Linked DNA regions of Saccharomyces cerevisiae S288C. Changing the gene in region 3 together with the main gene of any one other region gives a genetic interaction. Each region holds a gene or a part of one and is shown on either strand. Other genes may lie near its edges.

Evidence for each region.
Region 1: mutations in RIM21 (region 3) and HXT3 together harm fitness more than expected from each alone (negative genetic interaction), as found in Saccharomyces cerevisiae (2 studies listed by BioGRID).
Region 2: mutations in RIM21 (region 3) and ROX1 together harm fitness more than expected from each alone (negative genetic interaction), as found in Saccharomyces cerevisiae (2 studies listed by BioGRID).
Region 4: mutations in RIM21 (region 3) and ELP4 together harm fitness more than expected from each alone (negative genetic interaction), as found in Saccharomyces cerevisiae (2 studies listed by BioGRID).

Annotation. Positions count from the first base shown.
Region 1 is NC_001136.10:1,158,212-1,166,904, forward strand, and holds HXT3 (hexose transporter HXT3), read right to left. Parts: upstream 6,450-8,693; coding exon 4,746-6,449; downstream 1-4,745. Other genes in the region: hexose transporter HXT6, read right to left, coding at 1,397-3,109; YDR344C (uncharacterized protein), read right to left, coding at 3,795-4,238. UniProt on the Saccharomyces cerevisiae protein: Low-affinity glucose transporter.
Region 2 is NC_001148.4:678,144-683,377, forward strand, and holds ROX1 (Rox1p), read left to right. Parts: upstream 1-1,549; coding exon 1,550-2,656; downstream 2,657-5,234. Other genes in the region: YPR063C (uncharacterized protein), read right to left, coding at 1-50, 137-177; YPR064W (uncharacterized protein), read left to right, coding at 808-1,227; NEDD8-activating protein UBA3, read left to right, coding at 3,070-3,969; ISA2 (Isa2p), read left to right, coding at 4,077-4,634; HOS1 (histone deacetylase), read right to left, coding at 4,798-5,234. UniProt on the Saccharomyces cerevisiae protein: Transcription factor that represses the expression of HEM13, COX5B, ANB1, CYC7 or AAC3 (hypoxic function). Binds to the DNA sequence 5'-RRRTAACAAGAG-3'.
Region 3 is NC_001146.8:78,159-82,025, forward strand, and holds RIM21 (Rim21p), read right to left. Parts: upstream 2,103-3,867; coding exon 501-2,102; downstream 1-500. Other genes in the region: MRX6 (Mrx6p), read left to right, coding at 1-362; Rab GTPase-activating protein MSB3, read left to right, coding at 2,482-3,867. UniProt on the Saccharomyces cerevisiae protein: Required for the proteolytic cleavage of the transcription factor RIM101 in response to alkaline ambient pH. Required for growth at alkaline pH.
Region 4 is NC_001148.4:357,830-362,079, forward strand, and holds ELP4 (Elongator subunit ELP4), read left to right. Parts: upstream 1-2,379; coding exon 2,380-3,750; downstream 3,751-4,250. Other genes in the region: FMP30 (N-acetylphosphatidylethanolamine-hydrolyzing phospholipase D), read right to left, coding at 171-1,577; ATG21 (Atg21p), read left to right, coding at 4,043-4,250. UniProt on the Saccharomyces cerevisiae protein: Component of the elongator complex, a multiprotein complex which is required for multiple tRNA modifications, including mcm5U (5-methoxycarbonylmethyl uridine), mcm5s2U (5-methoxycarbonylmethyl-2-thiouridine), and ncm5U (5-carbamoylmethyl uridine).

The DNA.
Region 1 (8,693 bases), on a different chromosome or scaffold from region 3:
ACGCGGTACTAGAAGGAAAAATCTCTTCTTTTTACTACGTGTCCTGCATTTCTATCATGGTGAAGATAATCATTATTTTATGTCAAAAATTACTAGTTAGCTGTCAGAATTTTTTGTTTAAACATTGTTGAATTCCTGTCGCAGGTTAAAGAAATCGAAAAATAGCCAATGAAGTAGACAGAATCATTTGACCAGTTAGGTAAATTACTGTGTCAAATAATTCAACAACGCGTTTCTACGTGGTGGGCAGAAGTCCCTGGAATACTTTAGTGATGGTACACTTTTCGACATTAGAATTGTCTCTGAATTGTCACCCCGCTAATAAGTTATTTGTATGGACGCCAATAAAACCATACAAACGCGGCTTTCTGGTACTGCGTTTAATCTTGCATGAACTTTTCCGTCCATTGGGGCGAATATTCACTGTGCGATGTATACTACCTTTTTAGCTACTGAAGCCACTCTTAAAGCATGATTTTTTTCCTTCCTGCCATCTAAAGGTTACTTACGGCAACCTTTCCATAAATTGTTGCTGAAATAACATATAATAGTACCAAATGGGCCTATCAATAAGTTTACAGCCTACAAGATTTTCTTCCACTAAAATATATTCGAATAGGACTTTGGCCAAAAACTGTTCATTAAGGGGCAGACTGTTCATGTTTTCTCGCAAATTACCTTTTTAACAAGGTGAAATTATTTTTTTTGGGGAATGCTAACTGTTTATCATCTGCCAGGAAAGAAAACTTAGATCCTCTTTACCAATCGCCGCCAGTAGTACATCATTTCTTATTAAATAAAAACATTTTCATATCATTAACCCTTTTTCAAACATATATGGGATGTAGTTTGCCAAGGATGATCATAAAGGCCTAATATGATCCCCATTTTCTTTTTATTACCAAAAATTCAGGTTTATTGACAAGCCTTCTCTACTCTGTCGCAATGCCAGTTTAACATTGAGGAGTTTAGTAGCTTCATTGTAATGAGGTGACTCTATTTAATTTCAGGTAGAAAAGCGCAGTACCGAGGTGAGCCCTGCATATGTACACTGATTGTGAAAAGCTCCGGCTCATAATTAATTTTTTTGATGAATTATAGAGTACTTTGTTTATAATAGAAGACTTTTTTTTTCCTCCTAAGGTAGCTTATGCGAGAAAGAGCGCCTACTTCGCTTCTAGCGCTACAAAACAATAACTTTGAAGGGTAAAGCTGTTAACTTTTCTTCAAAGCTTAGAAAAGAAAAAAAATTAATAAAAAATTATACTTCTATTGGCAACATCTTGCCATACAATATAAATCGTAAGGGTTCATTAAAAATATAAAATCAGAATTAGAGTGCATTTCAAATGCACAAATTAGAGCGTGATCATGAATTAATAAAAATGTTCGCAAATTATTTGGTGCTGAACATTCTCTTGTACAATGGCTTATCATCGTGAGCCATTTCTTCAGCGTCGTAGTTGGCACCTCTTCTAGATGGTGGAACCCATGAGGCAGACTTCCATGGTAGAACACCTTCTTCCCACATGGTGTTGACTTCTTCCAAAGTCAAACCCTTAGTTTCTGGAACAACTAACAAAACATAGAAGAACATGAAGACCAAACAGCCCATGAAAACGTAACCGTAGTAGAAGTTAATAGCACCAGTAATAAATGGAGTGAAGAAACCAATCAAGAAACCCCACAACCAATTAGCAGCTGTAGCAATAGACATAGCCTTAGACTTGACTCTCAATGGGAAAGTTTCAGAAACAACGACATAAGGAATTGGAGCCCATGTAGTAGCAAAACAGAAAATATAGAAACAGGCAAAGACAATCATACAGTTACCAGCACCCTTGGAAGATGGTTGGTCTTGACCATTTGGCCATAATCTGGTGACACCCACGGAAGCATAGACAACCATACAAGCAGTCATGGATGCAGCACCCCATAGCAAACAAGTACGACGACCATATCTCTCAACAACGTAAATACCAACAAAGGTGGAAGCAAAGTTAACAATACCCAAGACAATAGAGGTTTCGAAAGAGTCACTCAAACCAACAGCCTTGAAAATAGTAGTACCATAGTAGAAGAAATAGTTATCACCTGTCAATTGTTGTAGAGATTGAATCATAGCACCCATGATCAAACGCTGAAGGACCTTTGTCTTGCTACTAAACAATTCACCCCAGGATGCATTACCAGCTAATTTCTCTGCCTCTACACCAGCCAAGACAGCTTCGACTTCAGCCAAAACAGATGGATCATCAACAGCAACCTTGTTAGAAACGGCAATAGAACGTTTGGCTTCTTCGATCTTACCGACTTCAGCCAAATAACGTGGAGACTCTGGAACAAATGTCATACCACCAATCATAAACAAAGCCCAGGCAAAACACAAACCTAATGGAACTCTCCATTGCACAGAGTTGGAGTAGTTCTTAGTACCGAAGTTGGTACAGTAACCCAAGAAAATACCGGCAGTAATCATCAATTGGTAGCAAGAGACTAAAGTACCCCTTAAATGCTTTGGGGATACTTCAGAAATCAACATAGGAGATAAAACGGCAATACCACCAACACCCAAACCGGAAATAATTCTACCGATGAAATATTGGTACCATTTGTTGATAGATGCAATTTGAATAATAATACCGATGATGTAGATGACAACAACGACAATCAAACCCACCTTACGACCGTACATATCACCCAATTTGGAAAGAATAATACCACCAATGGCACAACCAATGTTGAAAATGGAGACAATCAAACCAGTTCTAACCTTAGACAAATAATTAGTACCATCTTTATGCTTCATACCAAATCTTCTGATGAAATCGGTTTGATTGATGAAACCAGAAATGGTACCAGTATCCCAACCGAAAACGAAACCACCAAAGGCGATCATGATACACATAATAGAGACAGTGACATAGGCAGAAGCTGGTCTCTTTGGAATTTCAACGACAGGTTCGTGCTCTTCACCTTCACCATAAGCTTTTATTTCATCTCTTTCAGCCTTGTTTGATGGTGTAGATAAAACCGAGTGGGAGGCTGAGTCAACAGCAGAGAGATGCTCCACAGGAGTTTGCTCTGCAATAGCAGCGTCTTGTGACATTTTTTGATTAAAATTAAAAAAACTTTTTGTTTTTGTGTTTATTCTTTGTTCTTAGAAAAGACAAGTTGAGCTTGTTTGTTCTTGTTTTTTTATTATTAAAACAGAAAAATTGGAAAAAAGAAGAAGATAGTTACAAACCATATGTCTTTTCTCGAGCTCTTTTTATATGTTTCTGTGCTTTCTATATTGTATACCCATTTGCTCTCCATTGTCTGCAAGCCAAAATCTGCATACAGATCCGAGACATCTCTTGGATTTTTTTCAATGAAGGCACGGAGGGCATCTGAATAATCTCAATGAGTAAGAAACGAAATTTTTTAAGGAACATTTTCAATTTGCCTACGGACTATTCTCTGCAAAGTTCCAATAATTTCTCCTTTTTTTCCAGCGTTTAAAGGAAAAAAACTGGTTTTCGATGCCGGGGCCCCACAATGTACCTGCACTTTTTGTGGGGTAAACGTGGATAAAACGAATCTCCGTTGCCTAAAAAACATTTTTTTTCGTACGGTCCCCTCTGCGTTCAGGAAAAAAAGAGATCGGGTGGTGAGGCTAGGTAGCGTAGCCCCTTGGAGAAGCATATGAAACATTTGTCTTGGCGCCGCACACAGGAACTGCGCACTTCTTTTTGTCCTAGGTTGCTTATCACACCATATGGTGCACCCGTGCTCGTTGTCACTGCCTTTTTTTAACAATTCTTCCTTTGTTCCTCTGAAAGCACGGGCCGGCGCACTCCAATTACCCCTACATTAATTTCCAAGTAGTAGCAGGGGGATGAACATGTGAACATGTTGCAACAACTGCGGTGTCTTCTTAGGCTTGTGTTCGGAATTTCTTCCTCCTGTTTCGGTGTGTGTTGCTTATTTTTTCCTTGCCCCTTTGCGGCATCACAGCAGCCGTTGTTCCGTATTCCGGCTGATAAGCATGGAAAGATTTTCCAACAATACTCATGAAAAAATGTGTTGGTGTCTGAGTAAGCTAAATTTTCCCAAATTTGATGCCATTCAACCCGAAAACTTAAAATGTAAAAGGGGTTGAGATAGTGCAGCTGTGTGGCAAAAGTCAAAAAAAATCTGTTCCTTTCAAGGAAATGAAAAAAGGAAGGAAAAAATGTCCAGGACAGAAAGGCCATCCCCTTAGTAAAGAAACCTGCTTAGAGATTCTTGAGGCTCGAAAATGGTTGGTGGTTGGACTTCTTTTGAGTTTTCCGTCCGGATTTCAAACGAAATCCATCATCACGTTCCTAGCAACAAGAGGATTATTGGACGATTGTCGGGAGTAAAGATTACTCAGTTGGTTTTCTAACTCTACTGCGCACTTCTTCGTGGGTATAACAAATTGCACACACATACATTCTTATTATTTGATACTGCTTACGATAACCGGAGACTTCTTTTTTTTCCTGTTCGGCTCTCGCCGATGGTATGAAGTTAAATGGTAGAAAAATTGTTTGTTTTGTTTACAAACTGGATCAAGAAATGTTAAAATTCTGTTTGATATCATGTACCAATGTCTTTTATTAACTGTATCAGAGAATTATATATATAAAGTCATAAATCTTGTGTATTATTTATCATTATTGACTAGCACATCGAATCTTAAAATACACTATTATTCAGCACTACGGTTTAGCGTGAAATTATTTCTTGCCGAACATTTTCTTGTAGAATGGCTGGTCATCATGCATCAATGCATCAGCATCGTAGTTAGCACCTCTTTGAGATGTTGGAACCCATGAAGCAGACTTCCATGGTAGAACACCTTCAGCGTACATATCATTGACTTCTTCCAAAGTCAAACCCTTAGTTTCTGGCACAAAGAAGAAAACGTAGAAGTAGGCGAAAACCATACAGCCCATGAAAACGTAACCGTAGTAGAAGTTAATAGCACCAGTAATAAATGGAGTGAAGAAACCAATCAAGAAACCCCACAACCAATTAGCAGCTGTAGCAATAGACATAGCCTTAGACTTGACTCTCAATGGGAAAGTTTCAGAAATAACAACATAAGCAATTGGAGCCCAAGTGGTAGCAAAACAGAAAATATAGAAACAGGCAAAGACAATCATACAGTTACCAGCACCCTTGGATGAACCATTACCTTCACCATTTGGCCATAGTCTGGTGACACCAACAGAAGCGTAAACTACATAACAGCAGACCATACCAATGGCACCATATAACAAACAGTTACGACGTCCAAAACGATCGACAGTGTACAAAGAACAACAAGTAGAGAAGAAGTTGACGACACCGAAAACAATAGAAGTTTCGAAAGAATCACTCATACCAACAGCGTTAAAAACGGTAGTACCATAGTAGAAGAAATAGTTATCACCAGTCAATTGTTGTAGAGATTGGATCATGATACCCATCATAGTACGCTTAAACATGGCCGGCTTACCAGTGAACAACTCACCCCATGATGCTGAACCAGCAGCTCTAGCTTCTTCAACACTAGCTTCAATAACTTCCAACTCTTGTTGAATGAATGGATGGTCTGGGGCAACCTTGTTAACTTTGGAAAGAGATGCTCTTGCTTCGTCAATTTGACCAGCTTCAACCAAATAACGTGGGGATTCTGGAACGAAAGTCATACCACCGATCATAAACAAAGCCCAGGCAAAACACAAACCTAATGGAACTCTCCATTGCACAGAGTTGGAGTAGTTCTTAGTACCGAAGTTGGTACAGTAACCCAAGAAAATACCCAAGGTAATCATCAGTTGGTAACAGGAGACTAAAGTACCTCTCATTTCCTTAGGAGCGACTTCAGAAATCAACATAGGAGATAAAACGGCAATACCACCAACACCCAAACCGGAAATAATTCTACCGATGAAATATTGGTACCATTTGTTGATGGATGCAATTTGAATAATAATACCGATGATGTAGATAACAACAACGACAATCAAACCCATTTTACGACCGTACATATCACCCAATTTAGCCAAAATAATACCACCAATGGCACAACCAATGTTGAAAATGGAGACAATTAAACCAGTTCTAACCTTAGACAAATAATAACTACCATCTTTATGCTTCATACCGAATCTTCTCAAGAAATCAGTTTGGGCGACGAAACCAGAAATGGTACCAGTATCCCAACCGAAAACGAAACCACCGAAGGCAACCATAACACAACAGATAGACACAGTGACATATGCACCTTTACCTGTATTTGGGTTGGTAAGTACTTGGTCGGCCTCAGCTTGGAAATCATCTTGAACACCTTTTTCTTCAGGCATGTTCATTACCTGAGAGCTATTCGAAGGCAGGTCAGCATTCGAATTCTCACTTGACTTTTGTGGAGATATTAAATCTGGAGTTGAATTCATGATTGTTTAACTCAGATGTAAATTTTGTTTGTGATTCTATTATTTATGAAAAGCTATTAAGTAAAATTATGGAATATTCATGCTGAAGATAAAACAGCGCCTGTATTTATATGCAACCCCCAAGCGAAAAAAAACTTTGACTTTTCTTCTCTTCTGGAGAAATTCTCTGGGGATATAGTCCCCAGATTTTTTGAGTGGGCCCCCAATGTCCCACATCGTTATTGAGTTGTTTCTTTCTCCAGAAGGTCGTTGTACAGTCATTATAATGGCGGTCAGTATAATGACCTCCGGAAATACCAACATCGGGGAAAGCGGAAAATCTGGAAAAATTCTCCACGAAGCTTTCTCTGTGATAATCCGCGACCGAGAGTTTAACCGAATCCGCGGAACGAGATATTCCGTGTTTATTGCGGTATTATATGAGCCGGACGAATCCGGAAAAACTACGTGACAGGAACGATGACCGGGCAGCAGGCGAAGCTGGAAGAATATAGCTAAGAAAATGCGCACGGAAAAAAAACACTCCCGAATTTCTCCGTGAAAAGAGCCTACTAGGGGATAATAGTAGGTATCCGTTAATATTACCGAACTATTGAAAACCTACCAAATGCAAGAAGATGCAAACGAGCTAGAATGTTCCGCGAATAGCTCATCTTACAATTTTTTTCTTTTTTCAAGAAAAAGAAAGTATTTTTTTTTCCTTTCATTTCATTGCTCCTCCTCCAGGTGTTATCTCGAGAAGATGAAGGCTGTCTGCGATGACGAATAGGAAAGAAAAAATTTTCCTTAATTTTGCTTGCTTAATTCTTATACGAATAATTCTTCTTAATCAACATCGGGCTTCATATTTACCAACACGCATTATTGATTAACAATACTTGCCTTAGGTTGAAATTGGACGCCGGAAGAGAATTTATAGCTAGTCAGTGTTCTTCGGCGTAATTTTATTAATGGACATACAGTGTACTTTTCAAACTACACCGCCATTTGATATACCGGTGTAATTTTTGATGAAGTGTCAGAATTAGCCGCACAGTTAATTGAACACTTCGCTGTAAGGTGTGGATACAGATTAGATAAGAGCATTAGGCACCACATTTCTTCAGGCTTTTCCTGATGCTGGTTTGGATATTGCCTTCATCCCGCACCAAAGCTGGCGTCCCGCATGAGGAAAATGAAGAGTTGTAAGCAGCACTAAATTCCGAAATTAAAGGGCGGGCGGATGCCACCAGTAAAATATTCTTGATCAATCTTTGATATTTTCAAATGATCTCCCATTGTAATCTGAGAACTGCTCTTGTTTGGCTACGTAAGGCAGTATGAGGGTTGTAGTTAGTAGTAACCCTGTCTAAGATTCCCGGTGCTATGTACTTCTCTCACAATAATACAAGTAGTGAATGTCACTTAATAAATTTTTGTAATAAAAAGTCTACAAAGTTTGTTTGTGACTTGTCGAAATTCAATTCTGTTGCTTTCATTTTTCTGTAGAGAAGAAATAATATTCCGACAAAATGTAAATAAATATGCTAAAGTGGGTTACGACAAATTTCTTGAGAGCCATTGATTTTTGCTATAGAGGCATGAAAGCATACTGCACACACATCCAATACTTAACTTTGGCAAATGAGGAGCCTAATTACAGAGATAACTTCAAACTACATAAAGAACCAAGATACTAGTTAATGGAACGCCTAGACGATCATGCTTAACTGAACGAAAAGTAACTAATGAAATACAAGTCTCTTTTCGCCGAAATTTGAATTTAACAAGTCTAGTATACCCATTGTTAGTGCATTTCTCCGTGTTTTGAGACGCTTTTTTTACATGCTTCTAAATAAAGGCATCATCCATGCTCGGCAGCCGTAGAAAATCATTAGCCCCTAACTTCCAAAAATAGACTGCGCGCTACGTGAGACGCTTACTTCAGCTGTAGTATCCTAACGTGAAGGTTTTTTTAATTTACCCCATAAGGATCGCGTCAATAGGATCGTTTCCATTTTCCGACTTTGCAGATTAGATGGATCCCTAAAACGAAGTGCATAGTTGCGGTATTTTGTATTTGAGCCATTTAAAATAGTCTGGAAGGTTTTCTTTTTGATTAAATACATTTGGTGTTTCATTAAACCTGGAACAATACATATGATCACTTCATCCCGATAAATACCAAGCCCCAGGAACGTACTTACTCCTACCAGCACCTGTATTATAACCTTTTCTGAGAGTTCTTTTGTTTTGCTTGCAAGG
Region 2 (5,234 bases), on a different chromosome or scaffold from region 3:
TGCTTGGTGTGGCAGAATATAGTCCTTTTGGTGGCGCAATTTTCTTGTACCTGTGGTAGAAAGGGAGCGGTTGAACTGTTAGTATATATTGGCAATATCAGCAAATTTGAAAGAAAATTGTCGGTGAAAAACATACGAAACACAAAGGTCGGGCCTTGCAACGTTATTCAAAGTCATTGTTTAGTTGAGGAGGTAGCAGCGGAGTATATGTATTCCTTTTTTTTGCCTATGGATGTTGTACCATGCCCATTCTGCTCAAGCTTTTGTTAAAATTATTTTTCAGTATTTTTTCTTCCATGTTGCGCGTTACGAGAACAGAAGCGACAGATAACCGCAATCATACAACTAGCGCTACTGCGGGGTGTAAAAAGCACAAGAACTAAGCCAAGATCACAACAGTTATCGATAAAATAGCAGTGTTTGCATGGCCATTGAGAAGGACAACATTGGCGTGCGCGCCAATGTTGTCTCACCATGTAGCTCCAAACGAGTTGTAAGAGACGGACCGCTCACGCTTCCGAAGCGGTCAGAAAACGCTTCCCAGTATGCAGTTGACCTACATTCAACCTGCAAATATTGCTTTGCTTCAAGAAATGATTACACAGACGTCTATTTTCTTCTACATAATGCACGAAACTTGGGCATTTAGTCATGTAGCCGCCTAGCGAGCCTGGGTGCCGTCCTATCTCCTTTGTTCGTGCAAAGAGACAGGAACACACACTGCGTTCTCTTGCGGCCGGTCTGGCGGACTCAGGGGTGCGGCGTTTGCTTAACCGGAGGGAATAATAAAATCGGGGTGACGCAAGTATGAAGTCATGTGTGCTTAGCAATTACGTAGAGGGATTAGAAATAATAGTGTGCGGTTATCGGAACCGGCTCTTGTTCCCGTTTAGAGCAACCCAGGTGCAGGCGTACTTTAAAGTATTTTCTTTCTTTTTTTTCCTGCTACTTACGCTAGGAGCTGCCGCAGCTGCAAAGCCGACGTCGGAGAGGCAGGTGATCTTCGGCTCGGCCGACAAATCCCCTGGATATCATTGGCCTGTCGAGGTATCGGCCGCGTGGAACTACCGGGAATTACTATGCAAAACAATTGGAAATCTGGTAGGAAAACCTTGTTCTAGAACTTGGCGATTGCTGACAAAGAAGAAAAGGGCCTATTGTTGCTGCCTCTTTTGTTGTTCTTCCTCGTATTGTCTTGCCGGTGTTCTTTGTGTCTTTTGTGTGTAGGTTCTTACTATTATAGTGCTCTTTGCTATTATATTTTCTTCGTTTTCACTTTGCGTAATGTAACGGTCTTAAACAAAGTTTTTTTTTTTTCGCTCTTGCATTTTCCTTTTCTGCTCTATCTTATTTGCTAATTGTAGTTTCAGAAGTTTTACTTAAATATAGCACTATTTTCCAGTTTTAATGTTTCTTCTCATTGCTTTCTTTTATAATTTTCGCATATAATTATACATTTACGGTGTCTTAACTCTCCCTCTTCACCCCTCATTATTCCAGAAAATACTAATACTTCTTCACACAAAAGAACGCAGTTAGACAATCAACAATGAATCCTAAATCCTCTACACCTAAGATTCCAAGACCCAAGAACGCATTTATTCTGTTCAGACAGCACTACCACAGGATCTTAATAGACGAATGGACCGCTCAAGGTGTGGAAATACCCCATAATTCAAACATTTCTAAAATTATTGGTACGAAGTGGAAGGGCTTACAACCGGAAGATAAGGCACACTGGGAAAATCTAGCGGAGAAGGAGAAACTAGAACATGAAAGGAAGTATCCTGAATACAAATACAAGCCGGTAAGAAAGTCTAAGAAGAAGCAACTACTTTTGAAGGAAATCGAGCAACAGCAGCAGCAACAACAGAAAGAACAGCAGCAGCAGAAACAGTCACAACCGCAATTACAACAGCCCTTTAACAACAATATAGTTCTTATGAAAAGAGCACATTCTCTTTCACCATCTTCCTCGGTGTCAAGCTCGAACAGCTATCAGTTCCAATTGAACAATGATCTTAAGAGGTTGCCTATTCCTTCTGTTAATACTTCTAACTATATGGTCTCCAGATCTTTAAGTGGACTACCTTTGACGCATGATAAGACGGCAAGAGACCTACCACAGCTGTCATCTCAACTAAATTCTATTCCATATTACTCAGCTCCACACGACCCTTCAACGAGACATCATTACCTCAACGTCGCTCAAGCTCAACCAAGGGCTAACTCGACCCCTCAATTGCCCTTTATTTCATCCATTATCAACAACAGCAGTCAAACACCGGTAACTACAACTACCACATCCACAACAACTGCGACATCTTCTCCTGGGAAATTCTCCTCTTCTCCGAACTCCTCTGTACTGGAGAACAACAGATTAAACAGTATCAACAATTCAAATCAATATTTACCTCCCCCTCTATTACCTTCTCTGCAAGATTTTCAACTGGATCAGTACCAGCAGCTAAAGCAGATGGGACCAACTTATATTGTCAAACCACTGTCTCACACCAGGAACAATCTATTGTCCACAACTACCCCTACGCATCATCACATTCCTCATATACCAAACCAAAACATTCCTCTACATCAAATTATAAACTCAAGCAACACTGAGGTCACCGCTAAAACTAGCCTAGTTTCTCCGAAATGATTTTTTTTTTCCATTTCTTCTTTCCGTTATATTATATTATACTATATTCCCTTTAACTAAAAATTTATGCATTTGGCTCCTGTTTAATAAAAGTTTAAATCGCCTCAAAAGAACAATTGAAAAATATGTAAAATAACAGCAAATAAAAGTCAAAATTAAAACAAAGTACCCAGAGACAAAAAAGAAAGAAAAGAAAAAAGAAACAGTCTACAAATTCTATTTGAATATATAAAATTATATTCTCAATTTTCACGTATATATTCACCTCACAAATAATATCATTCCTTTAAAAAAAAATATGTATTATTGTATAATGTTTCAGCATAGTCGTTTTTTAAGCCCTTTTTTTTAAACTTAAAAAACAAATCAATGAGATATTGTATACCTATATTATCGATAATAAAGCGACGAGGATGGACTGCAAGATATTGGTGTTAGGCGCAGGTGGTCTAGGATGCGAAATCCTGAAGAATTTGACAATGTTAAGCTTTGTTAAACAGGTTCATATTGTAGATATAGACACAATCGAGCTAACCAACCTTAATAGACAATTTCTTTTTTGTGATAAGGACATAGGCAAACCGAAAGCTCAAGTGGCAGCCCAGTATGTAAACACGCGGTTCCCTCAATTGGAAGTTGTGGCGCACGTACAGGACCTGACCACTTTGCCCCCGAGCTTTTACAAAGACTTCCAGTTCATAATCTCGGGGCTGGACGCCATTGAACCTCGTCGCTTCATCAATGAGACTCTCGTGAAGCTTACCTTGGAGTCCAATTATGAAATTTGCATCCCGTTCATAGATGGTGGAACAGAGGGGCTCAAGGGACATGTAAAAACAATCATTCCAGGCATCACTGCATGCTGGGAGTGCTCCATTGATACCTTGCCCTCGCAGCAGGATACTGTGCCAATGTGTACAATCGCCAACAATCCTCGCTGCATTGAGCATGTTGTGGAGTATGTCTCAACTATACAATACCCTGATTTAAATATTGAGTCTACGGCGGATATGGAATTTCTGCTGGAGAAGTGCTGCGAAAGGGCTGCCCAATTTAGCATCTCAACAGAAAAATTATCAACAAGTTTTATCCTGGGTATAATAAAGAGTATCATACCTAGTGTAAGCACTACGAATGCGATGGTTGCAGCGACATGCTGTACGCAGATGGTTAAGATTTATAATGATTTAATCGACCTGGAAAACGGCAATAATTTCACTTTGATTAACTGCTCAGAAGGGTGTTTTATGTACAGTTTCAAGTTCGAGCGGTTACCCGACTGTACTGTTTGTTCAAATTCCAATTCCAACTAGTATTACTAATGAATAATACCATCCGCCGGTGTCACTTGTTTAAACATCTTGCAAGTAAGTCGAGATCCTAGAGAGCCTTGTACATGTGATTGCACAGTAAAGAAGGTATGCAGGCTAAATTATTGTTTACCAGACTAAACTTTAGACGTCCCTCCACAACTTTACGCCAGTTTCCCCTAACATGTTTTTTATTTCATAGCAAAGCATTTTACTCGGATCTGGTCACTAAGGAGCCGTTGATCACACCGAAAAGAATAATAAATAAGACGCCTGGGTTAAACTTATCTATTTCTGAGAGGGCTTCCAACAGACTAGCTGAGATCTACCGCAATAGTAAGGAAAATTTAAGAATTAGTGTGGAAAGTGGTGGATGTCACGGTTTCCAGTACAATCTAACTCTAGAACCCGCTACCAAGCCAGATATTAAGAATGATGTCAAAGACAAGGAGTTTTCAGACGACCTTGACGATGATGATTCCAAGGATATAATATACGTGTTACCCGAAGATAAGGGTCGAGTGATAATTGATAGTAAATCACTAAACATTTTGAATAACACTACACTGACATACACTAATGAGTTGATCGGTTCTTCGTTCAAAATCATCAATGGTAGCCTAAAAAGTAGTTGTGGTTGTGGAAGTAGTTTTGATATTGAAAATTAAGCTGTATTATATTCATCCCTGTATATAGCATGCCCAGCTGCCAAGCATTTTTTTACTTAATTGTCTCTATTATATATTTGAAAACCTAGCAAGAGCATTACGGGATAAAACGCTGCGGCGTTCGCATTATTAATTTGTATTCAAACGACTAATTAAAACTATCTTACAGTTCGTAAAACTTCATAAGTTCGACCATATCTCTATCCTTATTGTCATTCCTTAACATTTTCATTCGAGAACTTCCTTCCATCTCATATATCCAATACTGATAGTTCTCTTCATTATACATTTCAACAAGATCATGTTCACGTATAAATTGTTCAGAATCATCACCATCACAGACATCAAATGGATCGATTTGGAACGAATTATTGTCACCACATCTTAAGTTGGAAAACTGCTTTGTAACACACCAAGTCAAGTACGTATAAAATCTACTCATTAGTAAATCGTTGTACCCACCCCCTCCAAGTAGGAATATGTGCGCTCGAGGATAACTTTTCATGATATTTATGATGATTCGAGAAAGCCCTCGTATTGTTAGCTGCCATTCATTGAATCTATCACCCAGAAGCCCATCACCACCACATTCAATTATTA
Region 3 (3,867 bases):
CGATATTGTCAACTTTAACAAATTCCAGAGACTCTAAGAAATTTGAAAACAAAATCAAGGCGTATATTGAAAAAATCATAGTGCGGTTATCAGATGAAGTACCATCCACATATTTTTTCCAAGATGGCGTAGATTGTATTATTCAACCAAGTCCGATTCATAATTTCAAGAGAATGCATTGGTTAAGATACACCAAGAGGCACAATACCTTTTGGGGGAGGACTATACATAAGGACGTTCAAGTCAGCTTCAATGACAAGTATGTTGTTACTAGGAGCGGCGTGAGGTATACGAGGTATCCCACTAATTTGAATACACAATTATTGGAAACTGCATTTGAAGAATGGGACTACTATGAGTGATTTTGCATTGAGTACTTATCCACTGCTCTATTATGTGACATATTCGCAATTCGTGTAAATATTATGCATATGCATCTTGAGCATGCATGGAATATATAAATATGTAGGTTTGTTGTAATACTGTTTCTGCTGTGTCCTTCAAATATGGCCTATATGGTCGCTGGTAAAAGTGGCAGAGCTATTGTTATTGCCTTCACTGCCAACTTCATATTCATCGTCATCTTCATCTTCCGCGTTCTCATCGTCATCTTCATCTGAATTGAAAACGACATCCTTTGTCGAATAAATGTATATGCCTGGTTTGTCTAATCCCAACCGTTTCCTGACCATGGCCTTTCTCTGTTTGGTTTTTTCATTTTTCGAGCTGCTGCTATTATTGTGGCCTACGCTTTTCTGGACGATTTGGTCTGTAAAGTATAAAATTTTATCACGCGCATAGCCTAATTTCTTCAGCGCTACATCTTTATAAGTTCCCCTATCATTGAAATGCATTCGATCAATGCTTCTGCCCACTGATATCTGATCTTCTGGGTCGTAGCGTGATATGGTCTGTAAATCACATACTTCCGAATTACTTGACGTATCGTGCCGATCCGTTGATGCGTCCTGAGATTCCCTCCTGGTTAAAGCGTTTTGAACCCTTAAGGCGTACTTGGCAAACCGATAGTCTTGTTGCTCTTCCTCGAAGATAGGTCTTCCCAAAATGCTTTGCGCTTCCTCTTTTCTTTCCAAAACATTTAATCTATCCAGCCACTCCCATGTGATCACGGTCGAAGTGACATAGCATGTCGTGTTAAACACTTCACCCAGTTCCGATATCCATAAGTTCGACACATCGGCAAGGAAGAAACCCGGTAATAGAAGCACCACAAGAATAGTCAATAGCGTAAGTAAACCCATTTGATTGAATTTAAACCACAATTTTTTTTTCTGCCAGATGTGATAAATGACGATTGATGCATATGACGTGGCGATGGCAATACGGAAAAGGTAAACAAATGGCCGCAGAATCTGCCAGTCATTTCTGTGTTTTGTAGTATGGTTAGCAAACGGTGGAATTACCCATAAAATATTTGCGGTTATTGTTAATATCACCCCAATAAAAAAAATTATTCTCTTTTCCTGAGCTCTTTGAAATAGCCTAATGACAATGCCGACTTGGCAAAATTGGAACATTAAAGTAGCCAAGAAATCCAAGACAACAAATGTCATATCATCGGAAAAGATGTGCATAATGGAATGAGCCCGAACGACACCATAGACATTGTGCTCTTTTTCCAATCTCCGCAACACCTTCGTGATAAAAATCGTTAAGTTCAACGAGGCTAACAACGAGGCTATCCTCAGTAGTTGTAGAATTCTCTTATATGCGCGCCCGCTGATATTTATACAGCATATCACAGTCAGGAACACTGTGATGACAAAATTAGAAGTTATCGACAAAATCACAGCATAAATCGCATACTCAGCAGAACCGCCGACATAATCGCTTACTTGAATGAATTTTTGCCAGTCATTGATCACCTCATCAAGATACCTATATGGGGAAGAGTTTCTTAGCACCGTAGATACATAAACGGGCACTCTTTCACAGCAGAAACTCCTAAAAGTAATATCTTCTGCATATACTGCCGAATTGTCATAAAGAGGCAATTGTATCAGCACCCCTGAACCTAGCTTCATTGGATGACAGCTATTGTAAGCAGCCAATTCTTCTGGACTATGTCTCCACAAGTTCATGTTTGCAGAATCGACTATTCATCGAGTGTCTTCCTCCTTATGTGCTACTAAAAACGATAGTCTAAAATGACTGATTAAGTGCGCACAGGAAAGAAGAAAACAGGTAAAGGACACCGAATCTGTAGTACCAGTCTTTTGTCTTTCTTGTAACTAAACGATGTGGGTTGCTCTTCTAAAGTACTTATCTTTACTCGCCGATACAACGGGTTCCATCTTCTCTTTCAATAGCTGCTATTTTTCTGTTCGGGCAGTATCAGAATTAACAGGATCAAACCTCGTTTATGTCACGTAGAAAGAAAGTAGCTAAAAATAGCTAAAGGGACATCTAGAAGCTTTGTAGGAGTCAAAGAGTTGCGCACCCAGAACCATTGTAATTAGCATGCAGAACGATCAACAGAGGTTCTCCCTGCAAAATAGGACGGTACTGGCGCATCCATACAAAAGGCTAGGAGGGGCATTTACGGTGAAATCACCGTCTGTTCCTAACTTTCATGATAAAATGCATTCAGATCATAGTTCTAGCGACTCAGCTCTGGTGAACGGAAGCTTTAGAGCGAATGATCATCGCTCTGTGGAACCAAGTTGTTTGGGCCAAGCATCCCCCTCTGAACATGATGGGAATTTAAGCGTTATTGACCTGTATGGAGACGAAGTGGAATCCCAACGTGCCGAAGGAGAGGATGATGATGATAATAATGGCGATAATGGTAACGAAGATCTGGAGGAAGTGCACAGTGATGACCTCGATTTGGTTCCTGATGATGACAACCGTCAGCGTGTAGAATTGGAGGGTGCCGCTAGTGCCACAAGTGCGAATTCCAATGGAATCAACAATACCCATTTTGATCGATACGGTTTCAAAAAACAGAATAATTACATATCTGAAGCAGAATACGATAAGTGGTGGGTAGAATATTCGCAGTACTGCGTTCGCCGTAAGCACAAATGGCAATTGCTGTTGGAGAAAAGTGGGTTGCCAGTGACCGATGATTCTCCTTCACGATTTCCATCAAAGAGTGAACGGTTAAAAAGGTATGTCAGAAAGGGCATTCCAGCGGAATGGAGAGGAAATGCATGGTGGCATTTCGCTAGAGGGCAAGAGAAGTTAAACAAGAATAAAGGCGTCTATTCACAACTTTTACGAAAGATGAAGCAGATCAAGAAACAAAACCCTAATGAAAAACAAGTTCAAGACTTGGATATTATTGAACGTGACTTGAATAGAACATTTCCGGACAATATACATTTCCAAAGTAGCTTGCATAACAAAGAGGGACCTCCGATTATAAAATCTTTACGCCGGGTGCTTGTTGCGTTCTCTCTCTACAATCCGAAGATTGGCTATTGTCAATCTATGAACTTTCTTGCAGGCTTGCTATTGTTATTTTTAGACGAGGAAAGGGCCTTTTGGATGCTAGTGATTATTACTTCAAGATACCTACCGGGGGTGCATAATATCAATCTAGAAGGTGTTAACATCGACCAAGGGGTACTGATGCTATGTGTCAAAGAATATATTCCAGAAGTTTGGTCGTACATTAAGCCTTCCATTGACCACCACCAAAAAAATAACAAAACTTTTTCTCCGTCAAATAAAAAAGTTTTATTCAATATGCAAAAGAATGAGTTCTTGTACAGACTTCCGCCCATTACTTTGTGCACGGCGAGCTGGTTCATGAGTTGCTTTGTCGGTGTAGTGCCGATAGAGACCACGCTTAGAATATGGGATTGTCTGTTTTACGAGGAATCACATTTTCTATTCAAA
Region 4 (4,250 bases), on a different chromosome or scaffold from region 3:
CATTAATTGTAATTTCTTTATAACATCTTATTGGATATCATACGAATGTTTTTAAATTACAAAATCATTAAATCATAAAATGTTCAGTGAGTACAATCTCCCAAAGTCTACGTTTACTGTAATTTATCGCTATTTACAGGGACGCTGCAGCTTAAATATTAGCGCCTAAGTTAGTCGAAGCATTCTGTCTTGCCCAATTCTGGACAGTAGCAGCGGTCTTTAAACCCACCCCACTCGGCCAACATTTCTAATTTTTCCTTTGGCTCTAAGAAATATTCTCCGCTTAATACAAAGGTCCCCCAATGAACGCCTAATACATTTCGAGCTTCTAGATCTTTCATAATCTTGAGAACCTCTTGAGGATTAATATGTCGTGGTTTTTGGTGCCACTCAGGGCAATACTGACCACATGGAAGCAGCGCTAATTTACAACCTTTGCCAAAGCGTTCTTTAATTCTAACGAATAAATCTTTCACATATCCAGTGTCACCAGCATGAAAAAGTATGGGATTACCATGGTGTGTTAATAAAAAGGAGCACCATAGAGACTTGTTCGTATCTAAGAGCGATCTCCCAGACCAATGCATGGCAGGAGTAGCCGATATGTGGTATATCTCATTGTTTTTCTTTACTTGCAAAGTTTCCCACCAAGATAATTCTAGGACATTATCACAGCCGTTACTTGTCATATAAGATTTCATTCCTTTAGGTACTATCCATAAGGGAGAGTCTTTGCCACTCCAGTATTCCAAGCTTTCTAAATCCAGGTGATCGGGGTGATTATGGGATACAAGGATGATATCTGGTTTGGGCACCTCTGTAATTTGAGATGGCATTTGAGTAATTCTTTTAGGACCCAGGGTCTTGTGGATAAGAAAGTCACTGAACAGAGGATCAGTAAGTATCCTCAATCCATTATAAACCGTGTAGTTACAGGACTGGCCCAGCCATGTGTTATAGACTGGGCACTTTGATCCTTCATTTTCTTCTACTGCAGTCGGTATGTGCAATTCGTCTAACACTTTGCATTCTAGCGGCAATGCCGTTTCCTCTGCGGGGTCGACGTCCACTAAGTTAGGCCCCCATGTTGGCTTGTGTACAGGCATTAACTTATTCATTTGGTGTACATCACGTGGAATACCTCCCCTATTTCTTTCAAATAATTCGAACACTCTATTTGCAAAGAATTCAAAAACGGTCTGAATCCTGTATTCTTCGAACGGGTTCTCAAATCTGCCTAAAACTTCCAAAGGGCTATATTTTAGCAAGGATCCCTTATAAGTGACCTCGTTATTATTCTCCTCTAATCTTTGACACATTTCGTTTCTTAAATCAATTTGCTTCACTGTAGCCAATGATACATAAAACGCATATCCTGTGTAAGGTACCAAAACAGACAACAGAAGTATACGTGCGTATTTTCTCGAGCATTTTTGTATAGGGCGTGTCTTTTGCGAAGCATGTCTTTTGAAAGTTGACAATGATGTCTGGGGTCTAAACAGCTCTGATTCTCGTAAACGCACTAGTCTCCTTTGGAGAAGAAGCCTCATCTGAACATGGCAGGTAACAAAATTCATTTGCAACACAAGCAGGCATGCAATCCTTCAGTAATTGGAGTGCTACTGTTCACACCATATTCTCGCTATTCTCGAACTACGTTTTTTTTTTTTTGTTAAGCATCAGTAGTGAGTCTTCGGGAACTGCTTAACGACAGTAAAGGAAAAAAAAAACTAGCAGCTGTTGATAATATTCAGAAAATGAACGCAGAAGGAATCATTAGCTAAAAAGTTTATTATTAAAATCAGACATATATCTCATTATAATATTTTTTTTTTATAATACCACCATTTGTTCTCATATAATACTGATAAATATCGCATCGAATGGAAAAGACAAATAGGAGGCCGCTATTGTAATTTGGGCCTTAACCTATTTATTCTCTCTCTTTTAATTGATATTTTAATCTTTTTGAAGCCTACAATGTATTTTGGGCGATAATCAAGGAGAATATCAGTGTCATATACTCACTGTGGTAAATGTATTTCTAAAGTAGTTCCAATTCTTTCTTCAAAAAAGGCCACTAGACGATGTGCTTTCTTGCACAAGCATTTTGCTGGGCTATCTTCAATAGTGATAATTCTAACTAACTCAAAACCAGATGGCAAGTTCTTCCCTATGGTCGACTTCTCTCAGACGCAATAGTAGCTATGTTATTGATGGCTTTTGACGCCAGACCGGGTAAAGCGCATGGAATGAACTCTAAACTGTTAAAATAACAAAAACGACATATGAAGATGTCGATGAGGCTGGATAGTTTAGAGATGAGGTGCAGAGAACAACATTGTATAACAAATTCGGCTCCCAAATATCGCATGTACCATGTCATTTCGTAAAAGAGGTGAAATACTGAACGATAGAGGTAGCGGGCTAAGAGGTCCACTGTTAAGAGGTCCTCCACGAACTTCCTCAACGCCATTGAGGACAGGCAACAGAAGAGCCCCTGGAAATGTGCCCTTGTCTGACACTACAGCGAGATTAAAGAAGTTGAATATTGCGGACGAATCCAAGACAAAAATGGGGCTGGATAGCTCCCATGTGGGCGTTAGACCTTCTCCTGCAACCTCTCAGCCGACGACATCAACTGGGAGTGCTGACCTGGACAGTATACTAGGCCATATGGGGCTGCCGCTGGGAAACTCTGTACTAGTAGAGGAGCAGAGCACGACAGAATTTCACTCTATTCTCGGTAAACTGTTTGCCGCACAGGGTATCGTTCATAATAGAATTTCAGATAGCAGTGCTGATAAAACTAGAAACGGCGACACTCATGTCATTGTCTTGTCATTGAACCAAATGTTTGCAAAGGAGCTACCTGGTATCTACAAGGGATCACGTAAACAAATGAAGAAAAACCTAATCTCTGAAGAAGAATCAAAAGTTACTGTTCAAAATTTGAACGAGACCCAGAGATCGACGCCTTCCAGGTACAAAGACCTGAAAATTGCATGGAAATATAAACTGGCAGATGAAAAGAGATTGGGTTCTCCGGATCGAGATGACATCCAACAAAATTCTGAGTACAAGGACTACAATCATCAGTTTGATATTACAACGCGTCTGATGCCCGCTCCCATAGCATCTGAACTGACATTTATCGCCCCAACTCAACCTGTCTCCACTATTTTGAGCCAAATAGAACAGACTATTAAAAGGAATGACAAGAAACTGATAAGAATTGTTATTCCTTCCCTTCTACATCCGGCAATGTATCCGCCCAAAATGTTTGAATCATCTGAAATAATAGGTTTAATGCACGGTGTGAGGAGTCTTGTCAAGAAATACTATGAGCGGGTTGTACTGTTTGCTTCCATATCCATAGACATTATCACTCCCCCATTACTGGTATTGCTGAGAAACATGTTCGATTCTGTTATCAATCTAGAACCCTTTAACCAGGAGATGACTGAGTTCTTAGAACGTGTTTATAAATCGCAACCGGGGAAGATTCAACATGGGCTAGTCCACATATTGAAATTACCAGTTTTCACGGACCGTGGAGAGATGAGAGTTTTAAAGTCTGAATGGGCATTTAAGAATGGCAGAAAAAAGTTTGAAATAGAACAATGGGGCATACCCGTGGATGATGCTGAAGGTTCAGCTGCCTCGGAACAGTCACATTCACACTCGCACTCGGATGAAATCTCACATAATATACCTGCAAAGAAGACCAAGATATCTTTAGACTATTAAGAATATGGTTCAATTTATGGGAAATATACGGCATGCTTTTTAACAAGCGTGGTGAATGTATTATTTTTTTATCTGTTATATCTTAAATACGACTATTATATATATATCCATCGTCTTTTTCCTGACTCTAAGCGGTGGCAGCTGGAAGGTAGAAAAAGGTATCGCCTAGATGTCAAAATATGAAAAAGTGAAATGAATATTAACAAAAAAGGAGCGTGAGCTGCAGAAAGAATTTGACCAACAAAAGACAATTCCACTCCTTTGGATTTGAAATAGACAGATAGAAAAGGATATGAAAGTATTACAATTCAATCAAGATGCAACGTGCTGTGTGGTGGCCGCGTCATCGCATCAGATTTCGATTTTTAACTGCGACCCCTTTGGTAAATGTTTTGAAATTGACACTAAGAATTCCAAGAAGAAGACTTCAAACAATAACGGTTCAGCTTCAAACTCAGAATCACGGAATAATGAGGAGAGCATATTAATAACTAATGGCT